2 linked regions of the Neurospora crassa OR74A genome follow. The protein of the gene in region 1 binds, or shares a complex with, the protein of each later gene. Links are inferred from orthologs where the notes say so. Each region holds a gene or a part of one and is shown in the gene's direction. Other genes may lie near its edges.

Region 1 (5,921 bases):
TATAATCCGTATGATTGTGGAAGTTCTGTGATCCGGAGAACACCTTGGGAATACAAGTGGAAGGAAACGAAGGCGCCGACGTCGCTTTGGATGTATCCCTTTCTGCCCAAAAAGACTCATCAGCACCGAAGCCTTGGGAAAAGGAGGGGAAACGCCATGGCAGTTGTGTTCTCGTTGTTTATGCCTGGACCGGTAGATGAAATATTTTCTCCCCAAGTTGCCACCGCATCGTCTATCATAGCAAGAACTTCCTGAATCGTCGGGATACCACACCAAGGGACAAATGAAACAGCATGGCGGGGAAGGCGGCGAGAAGGGGGAGGGGGGGGGGGGGGGGGGGGGGGGGGAAATGAAGCCATACAACTGAGGGGACAATCAGCTGCTAATCACAAGCACCCACCTTCTTGGCTCGAATCTGGCTCGTGCGGATATCCGGTGGCCAGGTTGCAGGCAAACTCGGGGGAGAGCTATAGGAAGGCCAAAACAAAAGAAGCCAACTCAAACCAGCACTTTGCCCGAGTCAGTGAGACGGGTGTCGTGTATCGGTGCAGTGGTGTTGAGGGGTGGAAAGCAATGGAGTTCAGTGGTTGTGATTAGGAGAAGCGGGTGTTCACTGTAGTGAGGGCGGGCGGGATGGTAGGCGGGACCTAATCGACGCACCCTTGGCTGCATTATGTAAGCATCCCGTCCTTAACCACCTCACTGCAGTTGGTCGTCTGGACAGCGCGGGTTTCGGGCTGTGATTCTGAGGAGAGGGCAGCCAGAGGTCGGTGACCCAATGCCGCTGCCTGCCATGCTGCCAGAACCTAGAAGTACACCCGCTGTTCCGCCCCCGCCTTCCACTTGTAGTTCCCGGCCGGGGGAGCCTCCATTCGGTTTCCGGTTCCCATCCGAGTGAATAGCCTCACGCATGGCATTGGGTCTCTCCCCAACATGGAGAGATCAACGGAAACTGAGAGATCACCCAATAATGATACCCTAGAGGCCGACAGCAATCACGAACCGTCGAGCATACTGGTGTTCCCACGGGTACACTACTGGAGACTCCAAGGAACAGCCCCAAGTGAGATGCTGAATTTCCATACCGTGACCTCTCTAGCTACTGTACTGAGCTACCTGTACGTTTTTCGATTTCCCAAATCCAATTGGAAGATCATGGGGAAGTACCGAGTCGACTGATGTTGACCCATTAACTACCTCTAGGTACCAGCTAGTGTACCTTGGCTTGACTTCCCCAGCAACCGAGCTTCTTTCTGGGTGGGCAAGTCTCTCTGTCTCTACTTACCATAATCATCGCCGTGCACACTCACATTGAAAGCGACCTGAATGGAGGCCGGGTTGTGGGCGGCGGTTCCTGAATGCCGGACGCACTGTGCTTACACTAGTACTAGTACAGTATTCGAGCAAGAGCCAAGCGTTTTCCATCACAGGCAGAACACTGCGGTGCCGGTGCCATTCATAGGTAGTTGCATCTGATTTGATGCCGCCCTGACAACACCATGTACTGCCATTTTCCCTTTGAGAAGCAAACGAGACCCATTCGACGACGGTAGGTGCAATTTCACTTGGAAAGCTTTGCTCAACTCGACAACAACCTGAACCAGACCCGACCTGCAGCGAGCAATGAACCGAACCCCCGCCTCCCCTTCAGGTTCCCATTACCCCAAATAATTTCCCCTTGTGTGCAACAACGAGTTTCGTTGTCTTCCACCATCGATGTTTGTTTGAACCACATTTCACTTCAAACCCTTTTCGGTTTTCAAGATGCCCCTTATTCTCTTGTCGGTCCAGGTTGGACACGGGCTTCACCTATTGAGGCGTGATGTCATAGCACGAACCCTCCCCGACGGACGGTACCAGTAATTCACCACTCTACGGCCTCTACATACCTATGCATACGACTTTCTTACATCAAACTATATCTACTCGTCTCTGGAAACTGAACAGCATCGACAAGCCGGCTTTCGACGCCGCATCCCAGAGATCATTGATATCCTGGTCGAGCTGGCCCATTATCTTTTTCCCGGCACCGGATTGGTCAACATGGGGACCGAGCTTCCAGATGGCCCCGCACGCTTTGGCGCTGCCACTGCCGCTACCGTGAGGAGGAGTGAGGAGGTGCCTGAGTGACGGACGGGATCAGACCGGGGTTGGTGGGTGGGTGGGCGGCAGCCAGAGTGGGTGCCCGGGCGGACAGCTTTCTGCCAAAATTTACTGCAAGCAACTGCAAGAGCGCCGTGTCGGGTTGGTGGTGGTGGTGGTGGTGGTGGTGGTGGTGCATCGTGGTGCCGTGGTGCGGTGCGGTGGTCCCGTCTTTTTTGGGGCTGGCAACTCGACTAGGTCCCGGGCTCGGTTTCCACCATTGTACACACACCAAGAGAGACCAGCCATCGCTTCCTCCTTCCAGGCAGTGCCGTCCTCGCTCTCCTCTTTTCTGGAAATCCTCACCACGTACACCCTGGGCCACAGACACGAAAACCCGACTTGTCGAACTTTGTTATTTCCGTCATGAGAAATAGTTTACCACCCACCTACCACGTCGACCACCGCTCCCCGATCTCCAATTTGGCGTAGCCAGCACTTCGGATCCCGTCATAGACATCTCGTCTCGCCGTCCTCCGTCCCCTCTTCTTCGTTTTTTTTCCCACCCTCGTACCCGCTCAATCTTTTACCCAAGTTAGCAGCGAACGAGTCTTGCTTTCGTGGACATTTACACAAGCAAGCCGGCGACATCCTCATCTCGAGCACGCCCCCGATCGAGCACCCTCCTCACTTGGCTGGATTTTCGACCTGAGCCCTCGCGATCCTCCGCCGTCGGTCGATCCATCCTCGATAATTTACGCTTCTCTACCACCAAGCACCGGCTTCAAGCTACGATTCGAACCTAGCACGAGTCTCATAACCTCGACACCTTCGATTGCATCTTTACTCGACGATTGTGTCAGATTCAATTTGCGGTCGAGACTCGGCCTCGTCGAGTCCTCGCTTCTCCGTGACCACATCGACAGACGACCGCGTGATTCGGGTCTGCTCCCGCCATCACGCCCCATTACTTCTCCGACCATCCACATCGCAATTGTCGAGCTTCAAGTAAAACGAAATTGTTTTAGTGCTAGGGTGCGTCATTGTCCCCAGGCACTCCGGATACCCGACCGCAGAACCCCCTCCCAACGGGCCTGCGGATCGCGTTCTTCTCTTCGACACCAATCGTGTCGATTATATACCCTACATACTTCGAGCTCCTGCCTTGACTGCGGCCCCAGCTGCAAGCAATGGCAGGGTCCGATCCGAGGCGGTCGTCAAGAGCGCGAACCTCCCAATCACAATCGCAAATCTCGTCCAGCACGTCCAGCACGTCAGGTCGTGGTGAGCGCAGCACCAGGTATTTCAACAAAGCTGTCTCACCACAAAAGTCAAGCTCCTCGGGATCGCTATCCTCTGAGGCTCCAGACGAGACAATTACAGCGGACGACTCGTTTGGTACCCGGCGTCGTACCCGCGGTCAGCAGGAAGAAAGAGAGAGGGCAAATAACAAGTCTGAGCAGGTCGAAATGGCACACGGCGACGATGACGCTCAAGACGAGGACGAGGCCGTTCGTTGCATTTGCGGCTACGAGGACTACCCAGGCCCTCCGCCGTTTGACGAAGACTCCAAGCATGGCTTGAAGGACGGCATGGATATCGATCCCATATTCGCGACCGATGTCACCGACGATGCGGCCGGATTTTTCGTACAATGCGACATTTGCAAGGTCTGGCAACATGGCGCCTGCGTTGGCATTATGACCGAAGAGTCAAGCCCAGACGAATATTTCTGCGAAGAGTGCCGCAAAGAATTCCACAAAATTTTCACAGCGAGCAACGGGTAAATCTTGCATTTCTTTGGTCCCGTGGCTGCATGGTCGGGAGCTGAACGTCAAAAGTTCAGCTGGAGTGCGTCAAAGCCCATCACACGCCTTTGACGTTGCCTCACCTTTCATGCAATATCCTCCTCCATCCACGACAATTGTCAAATCACTCTCCAGTCGACTGACGACATGATTCACAGACAACGCTATTCGCACTACCTACCCCTTAAGCGCCCCTCTCGAACCACTTCTAGATCCGCCTCTCTCAACAAGGATGGCACGAGATCACCGCCCAAAGATAAACCGGAGGGCCGCAACGGACGTGGTACGACCACTTCCTCCGCGTCGAAGCGAAGATCTACAATGAACAGCCGAGGCGCTGACTACGACGAAGCTGAAGCCCTGAGACGGGCGATTGAAGCAAGCAAAGAAGATGCAGCTTCTGAACAACCCGAAACTACCACGAGAAGAACAAAGCGAGGCAGAAGCGATAGCGAAGAGTAGGTCCACGTCCTACGCTGCCCGACATCAATAACCGCTAACCCTCTTCAAGAAAGTCAGAAAACAAGAGGCAGAGGACGAGCTCTCGATCGGCCTCTCCTAGCCTTGACAAGACCACTGAGGACTCTGACGACGCCGGCACAACAACGCGGAATGGTGCAAAGTCTAGATCGCGGGGCGGCGTAGCAGGCCGCACTCTGCGCACCGAGAAGACAACTGAAAAAGAAGAACGCGAACGACAAAGGGCTGAGGCAGCAAACAAGCGAAAGGGTAGAGCTGAGCGCCGGCGAGCTGATGGTACGAAAGCCACGACTCTCGCGAAGGCATCTGGAATTGACACAGATACAGATTCAGACCCTTCGGACGAGTTACCACTAGCAGCTCGTGCGGCAGTGAACAAGACGCCCGCTACAACGACACCGGTCGCAGCCGCCACCGCCGTGACCACTACAACGACTACTACTACCACTACTATGGCTACCCCTGCCGCTGCGGAAGAACCGGCAGAACAAGAAGAACAATCACCAGCGGTACCCGAACCCCCTCCTGCCTCACAGTCCACTCCGGAAGACCCTCCCGCTGCAGCTACTCCCACAGCCAAGATTGAGAAGAAGCGATCACATAAGAAGAAGGGTCGCAATCAATACACACGTGATGACAACGAGCCATCGCCTGCAAGATCACAGTCAGGGGAGGCACCAGCTGAAGTACCGCCTCCTCCGAAGCCAAGTAAGGCCGAAGAGAAGGCTACTGGACACGGAAAACAAGGGAAGAATAAGGGTGGGATGAACAGCAAGATCACCATGACTGACATGAAGAGGAGGGCCGCAGCACTCCTTGACTTCATTTCGCGAACCCAAGTTGAGCTTGCTGGCGAGTCACCATCGGATGATGACAAGACGAACGGCAACAGCGTCGCACCACAGTTAGCAACTGACTGTGAAAAGCCAGGGTCGGCAACAGGCATACTCGGGGTCAATTGCTCGACCCCAGCCGCTGTCATGACTTCAGAAGGGCAGCTAGGAAAGGATTTCAAGGACCTCAGCTGCGTGGAGATGATGGACAGCTTGACCCGGAGGTTGGTCAAGTGGCAGCAGGAGTATACAGTGTGATACAATGAGCGGATAATGGATGTTATACTTGATGTGCATGTGGCATGGATTACGTCGGATAAAGGCTGATGATAACTTGCACGTTTTCGATTTTGGGTTTCTTTTTTCTTTTCCACTTTCGTTTGTCTTGGTGTTTTCTCGGGCAGAACGGTGCTATCATTAGGCAGGTTTTTGCGATGATTGGATGCTTTCGAAGTTTTATATCGAGAGTACTCGGGATAGCTGTATCCTCCCTTCCACCTACTGACGACGTGGGCGAATGGGTGGTGAGGCCAGCGATGCATTTATTGGGGCGTTTTTTTTTTTTTTTTGGGTTTAAACAGGATAATTGGTTCTGGTAGTACCTAGGACGGCGTGGGTATCATTGATAACGGAGTATAGAGTTTTCAAGAATTTCATCACCTAGGTTTATTTTGCCATGATGCTATTTCGTTCGTGTGTGGGTATCAACCATCATGCT
Region 2 (6,009 bases), about 5.9 Mb from region 1:
CACGAACACCACAAGTAAACAATGCAATTATGGGCATGGCAACGCTGTGCAGAGCATCTGTCAAAGGACAATGGTGTGTAACCAAGAACACCTTTCCGCGCACAAAGACGTGGTGCACTCATTCCTGTGGCATCAACTCAGGTACAGAATCGGAAACAAAGAGAAATTGATGTCACTTACACCACTAGCCACGAACCCGTAAACCAGTCACTGCAGGTCTGTACCTGAACAGACAACCCCATTCACTGAAAAGGAAAACCGAATCTTGAACATGGCTACCGGTCTAGCTGCCCATCCTTATACCTAACGCCTAGTCATACAAAATCACAAGTCGGAGGTATGCGCCTGCAAAGAAAAAACGTCATGCATGCTTGTCCTTTTGGTTAGGTAGGTACCTATAGCTGCTCCTCCTCGACCTCCATCTGGTCGCCATGTGTGGTGCCATTGGCCCCAGCGGGGGTATCCTTCTTCGCAATGGTCGCCTCCTTGTCGATCATCTGCCTTGTAACGGCAACAATGTTGTCTTCGATCAGTTGCTGTCCGACATCCTCCAAGTGCTTCTTGGGATCCACCTTGCCAACATAGCGTGTCTTGAGTTGGTCCTTGGTCAACTCTGTCTCCTCCTTGACTCTCTTCTCGTAGCCGTCAGCAAGGCTAACCAGGCGGTCGAGTCTCTCCTTCGTCCTCGATCCCTCGCAGCGGAAGTCCTCCATTTCGAGGGCCTCGGTCCAAACGTGCTTGTGCAGATTCATCAACATGTTCTCCTCCAAGGCGGTCTTGCGGTAGTTGATGCCGATCGAGTAGTAGTGCCTGTTCAGGCCGTGGATGAGGGCCTGGATGGAAGGCTTGTTGAGATGTCCCAAGTTGGATGTCGTCTGGCGGGGCTCCTGACCCAGCATGAGCGACTGGGGGTTGATGAGACGGAAAGCATCAATCACAACCTTGCCCTTGACGGACTGAATGGGGTCAATAACCACGGCGACCGCACGGGAGTTGAGTTGTTCGAAACTTTGTTGGGTGTTGATATCAACCGACGAAAGCCAGCAGCCAAAACCGGGATGCGAGTGGTACCAGCCAACGACGGCCTCGGGCCTGCGAAGGGAAATACATTAGTGGGTGGTGAAAGGTCAAGTTGAGCTGAGTATCCTCTCACCTTCCCGTTTGCCTGAGCATGTCCATCATGTTCATCTGGAAGACGGGGTCGACAGCCTCTACACTGACACCAGTACCGCTTTGGGGCATGGCAAACACATCGACGACGCGAACGGTAAAGTCATCGACAAACTCGCCCAGCATCAGGCCCATGACTTCCATGGGCACACCAGCGCGACCGTGGCGCAACATCTTGAGGAGGGCTAGGGAGGAAATGTAGACGGTTTCCGAGTTGTCGATGAGGTTGGTGTTGTCCTGACCAGAACCCAGCACATTAGCATCATGCCCTTGTCACCTTCACGCCAGACCAAGCAAGCCTGCGGTTCTGTTGTTCAATTTGCGAATGGGAACAAACATACGGCTCCTGGCGCAGTGGCACCGCCCATTCCCAGGCCGCCGCCCAACAAGCTGCGCATGCGATCCATCTTGAATGTGTTTGTTGGTTGGAGAGTAGTGTATTATGTTGACGTAGCTGTGTGACGGGGGTGTTGGAAATTAATATCGGCGTCGTTCCTCGGGTGTAATGACGTCGCGCAGAAGTATATGGAGGGTTGCGATGCAAACGGTGGCGGTTTCGTTGTAAAGTCGAAGTGGGATGTCGTCGATGACAAGACGGGAGACGGGGCGGTTTGTTGTTTAGGTTGGTGGGTTGAGTACCTCTCTACCTACCTACCGCGTCAGGTTGGAGCATGGAGCATGCAGCACCTATGGGGAGCTTGCCGCAGCTGGCTGGCGGCGGCGTTGACGACAAGCTGTGGCAGCCTGCAACGCCAACTGCCACAAAGTCCACTGCAGGCCAGCCCGGTGACGGAAGGTTCCCTTGAGCTGGAAGCTGTGGATTACATAATCTTATCTGGTTTGCAAATCGGCAGGCAAAGCGGTTGACTTCATAAGTATTGGCGCTTTTTTGGAAGGTTCGACGTTGCCTGCCGACAGGACGTCAGGTGCACAATCCGTTTTCTGATTGGTTACTAAAGTTATTGGAGAATGGAGAACAGCTCAATTATACCCCACTCGCCCGTTGGGGTTGCTGGTGCTTGCGCTTTCTCCCCCGCCTGTCCGCCCACGGCTTCACGCACCGACCTCAGCGTTGTGCCGTGGCTCGTACAAGCAATTCTGCCACTCAGTGACAGACACCCCGGCGTCAGGAACCGAGCTCGAACTAAACACCATCTTTCTTTTCGTTGCTGGCAAGCCATGACGATACCGCCCAGGTGATTTGCCACATCACGGGGATATTTCTATATCATACTTTGTCATTCTATCAATACCACGAAACCTCAACACGTGTTTCCCCCATTCAGCCCGGCGACCCTGAACATTTCCTTTCACGACGGGGTCCTTCCCATCCCAGCGTCTCCCGGTCAGCGATAACTTCTACATACTTGGACGTGATATCCACCACCACAACACACACACACACACCATCCAACCCACAATCCGGATTGTACCGCAATAGTCCTCCGTATCCGCCAACGCAACGCAACACAACACAACGGGCAACCCGGCAACATCTGCCCACCATGCCTTCCACATTCACCGATCCCGCCGGAGTCGCGCGTGACGAGCCGTTGTATACCGTCGTCCACAATGACAAGAAGCGGGTCGCCTACTTCTACGACTCCGACATTGGCAACTATGCCTACGTGACCGGCCATCCTATGAAGCCCCATCGTATCCGTCTTGCCCACAGTCTGGTCATGAACTACAACGTGTACAAGTTTCTCGAGGTCTACGTAAGTTTGCTGTGTTGGGGGTACTGGCCTTGGTCAACGACAAACTGACCCTCTCTGTGTTAGCGTGCAAAACCAGCCGTTACTGCCGAAATGACACAGTTTCACACCGACGAGTACATTGAGTTTTTACAAAAGGTTACCCCCGACAACATGGACGGCTTCATGCGCGAGCAGGGCAAGTACAATGTTGGCGATGACTGTCCCGTTTTCGACGGCCTGTTTGAGTTCTGCGGCATCAGTGCCGGCGGAAGTATGGAGGGTGCCGCTCGCTTGAATAGGGACAAGTGCGACATCGCCATCAACTGGGCCGGTGGTTTGCATCACGCCAAGAAGAGCGAGGCTAGCGGTTTCTGCTATGTCAATGGTATGTGGCCTTCACAATTTCCTGGAACCCGTACGACGCCACCCATGCTTACCTACTACACCGAACAGATATCGTCCTGGCTATCCTAGAGCTCCTGCGTTTCAAGAAGCGCGTTCTTTACATTGACATCGATGTGCACCACGGCGATGGTGTCGAAGAAGCCTTTTACACGACGGATCGCGTCATGACCGTATCCTTCCACAAGTACGGCGAGTACTTCCCCGGTACCGGCGAGTTGCGCGACATTGGTATCGGTTCCGGCAAGAACTATGCCGTCAACTTCCCCCTCCGCGATGGGATTGACGACACCACCTACAGCTCCATCTTCCAGCCCGTCATTAGCGCTGTCATGCAATACTTCCAACCTGAGGCTGTTGTCCTCCAATGCGGTGGTGACAGTTTGTCCGGTGATCGTCTTGGCTGCTTTAACTTGAGCATGCGTGGCCATGCCAACTGCGTTAATTACGTGCGGAGCTTTGGACTACCCACTCTGGTTCTCGGCGGAGGTGGCTACACCATGCGCAACGTCGCAAGGACTTGGGCCTACGAAACCGGCCGTTTGGTTGGTGTTGAGATGAACCCAGTCCTTCCTTACAACGAGTACTACGACGTAAGTGGATTAGTTCCATTATGGCTTGCCGCCTTGCTAACAAACTCTTAGTATTACGGTCCCGACTACGAGCTTGATGTGCGTTCTTCCAATATGGAGAACGCCAACAGCCCAGAGTACCTGGAGAAGATCAAGATATCAGTGATAGAAAACCTGAAGAAGACCGCCCCAGTTCCCTCTGTCCAGATGCAGGACGTTCCGCGTCAGGGCTTCGGTATGTCAGACGATCAGGAAGACGAGCTTGACGACATGGATGAGGACGAGAACAAGGATGTCCGGCGGACACAGCGTCAATGGGAGAAGGAGAGAGCTAGGCAAGACGAGTTTGAAGAAAGTGATGACGAGGACATGGCTCAAGCCAATGGTGTGTTCAAGCCGAACGGACCGCAGCGCCGGTCCATTCTCGACTTCAAGAACCCCAAGGCCGTGGAGGACATGGATCTTGATATTGGAGAACCAGCTCCGCCCTCGATTGCCGCCACCGCCGCCGCGGCCGCCGCTAAGCCAGCGGAGCCTACTGCTGTCGACAACGATGAGACCATGATCGATAACGACGAAGCCCAACCGGCCGCCGCTGAACCTGAAGCCGAAGCCCCCGCAACGACAGCCGCGCAGCCTGCAGTAAGCTCTGCGGCCAAAGTTGACGAAGATGGCGATGTGGATATGGGCGAGGCCGATGAGAAGCCTGCAGAACCTGAGGCGGAGATCAAGACCGAGGAAATCGAGACTGCCCCTGCTCCGGAGCCGGAGGCAGAGCGCAGGCCAAGTCCCGCCGCCGCCACTGCGGAGCCTGCTACCGAGGCAGCAGCAGCAGCAGCAGCCTCTCCCAAGGCCGCCTCGCCGGTACCAGACGCCAACACTGAGAAGCCAGTGGCAGAAGAGCCAAGCAAGGTTGCCGAGGAGGCATCCGACAAGGCACCGGCAGCAACAACAGATGACAAGGAAAAGGAGGCCGATAAGCCTCAAGAATAGGACGCAACCCCCCGAACAAACACTCAGTACGTCTGATAGCTCGGACTAATCGGGCCCTGAGTACGTCGGCAAATTTCAGTTGTGTTATCCCATGAGCATGATTGGCATTGGCGTTTGGGGATTTAGGGGTGTTGTGACGAGGAAAATGTTGTTTTCAATGATTCCCCCACATTACATCCAGGCTCTTTGTTGTTTGTGTTTTTTCTTTCTTTTTTTTTCTTTTTTTTTTTTTCCTTTTCTTTTCTTTTTCCATGTTTCGGAAAAGTTTCTACAAGTTAAGCGTCTAATAAAGGTGACTTTAGCTAAACATGGCTTGCTGATATGTGATTGTGGTTTGGAAGCCAGGGATGTTCACTAAGTGGTGAACGCTTGATTAAACTTGTGCCACTTCCCTCACCCTCGTCTCCTGAAGAGCTTGATTGATCCTGGATCGCCAAAGATGCCCCGGCCTCCACTTCAGACATCGCGTTGTATCATGCGGGGTTGCCCTGCGGATCAGGACAAAGTCCAATCGGGCGTGCAGTTTATCCCCGCCAGTTCCTATTAGCGGCTTCTTTATTGGGGCGTTTCCTCAACCTTCGTTATCCGGAGAACGAGGGACTGGACCCTTGGACTCTAGAATAGTGTACATACACAACCTCCATTACTTCACACGTACGTAGGGGTATGCAGGAGTTATCTACAGTATGTTTGGTACCAACGCATACCTTGAGTGGGATTGCCAGATTCTGGTGCCAGCCAATCTGGATTGCTTGATCTAGCCGTCAGCTGAAAAGCAACTTTCAATGGCGCCAAAGACTTCTGAGAAATGATCAACAACCCCGACGGGTCCAATTATGGCAAATCCTCGAGTCGTACAGCAAAGAGTTCAGCTGGTGTTTAGCATATCCACATTACTACTTTAGATACAAGTGATAGCGCCCTCGTTAAATTCTTCCTGTTCGTCTTCTTCTCAACCCTGATGGACTTGTCAGTGTCTAAACCAGCAGGAATCCTCCAGAGGCGCCCATGGTGAGCAAGTTTACGATGGGCAGGACACAAGGAGCGGGTCACCGGGTGTCTGCCATCAGTGAGCGGCATCCTTTGAACCAAAGAACGCATTCGGAAATCACAAAGATTGCACGATTATGTACAGCTGTAGCACTAGCCATACTGGTGGTGCTATCGTTGTCAGA

What was found.
Region 2: NCU02121 (region 1) and hda-3 share a complex: the UniProt entries of both Saccharomyces cerevisiae proteins name them as parts of the RPD3C(L) complex. The link is inferred for Neurospora crassa OR74A from reciprocal best matches to the Saccharomyces cerevisiae genes CTI6 and RPD3.

What each region holds. Positions count from the first base shown.
Region 1 is NC_026501.1:1,172,420-1,178,340, reverse strand, and holds NCU02121 (transcriptional regulator), read left to right. Parts: upstream 1-1,834; 5' UTR 1,835-3,272; coding exon 3,273-3,865; exon of another isoform or gene 3,866-4,037; coding exon of another isoform or gene 4,038-4,048; coding exon 4,049-4,348; intron 4,349-4,401; coding exon 4,402-4,646; coding exon of another isoform or gene 4,647-4,697; coding exon 4,698-5,461; 3' UTR 5,462-5,865; downstream 5,866-5,921. UniProt on the Saccharomyces cerevisiae protein: Component of the RPD3C(L) histone deacetylase complex (HDAC). Responsible for the deacetylation of lysine residues on the N-terminal part of the core histones (H2A, H2B, H3 and H4).
Region 2 is NC_026501.1:7,045,539-7,051,547, reverse strand, and holds hda-3 (histone deacetylase RPD3), read left to right. Parts: upstream 1-2,231; 5' UTR 2,232-2,675; coding exon 2,676-2,888; intron 2,889-2,951; coding exon 2,952-3,252; intron 3,253-3,320; coding exon 3,321-3,862; intron 3,863-3,913; coding exon 3,914-4,834; 3' UTR 4,835-5,519; downstream 5,520-6,009. Other genes in the region: rpn-11 (26S proteasome regulatory subunit RPN11), read right to left, coding at 396-1,092, 1,154-1,407, 1,512-1,577; NCU00825 (hypothetical protein), read left to right, coding at 5,843-6,009. UniProt on the Saccharomyces cerevisiae protein: Catalytic component of the RPD3 histone deacetylase (HDAC) complexes RPD3C(L) and RPD3C(S) responsible for the deacetylation of lysine residues on the N-terminal part of the core histones (H2A, H2B, H3 and H4).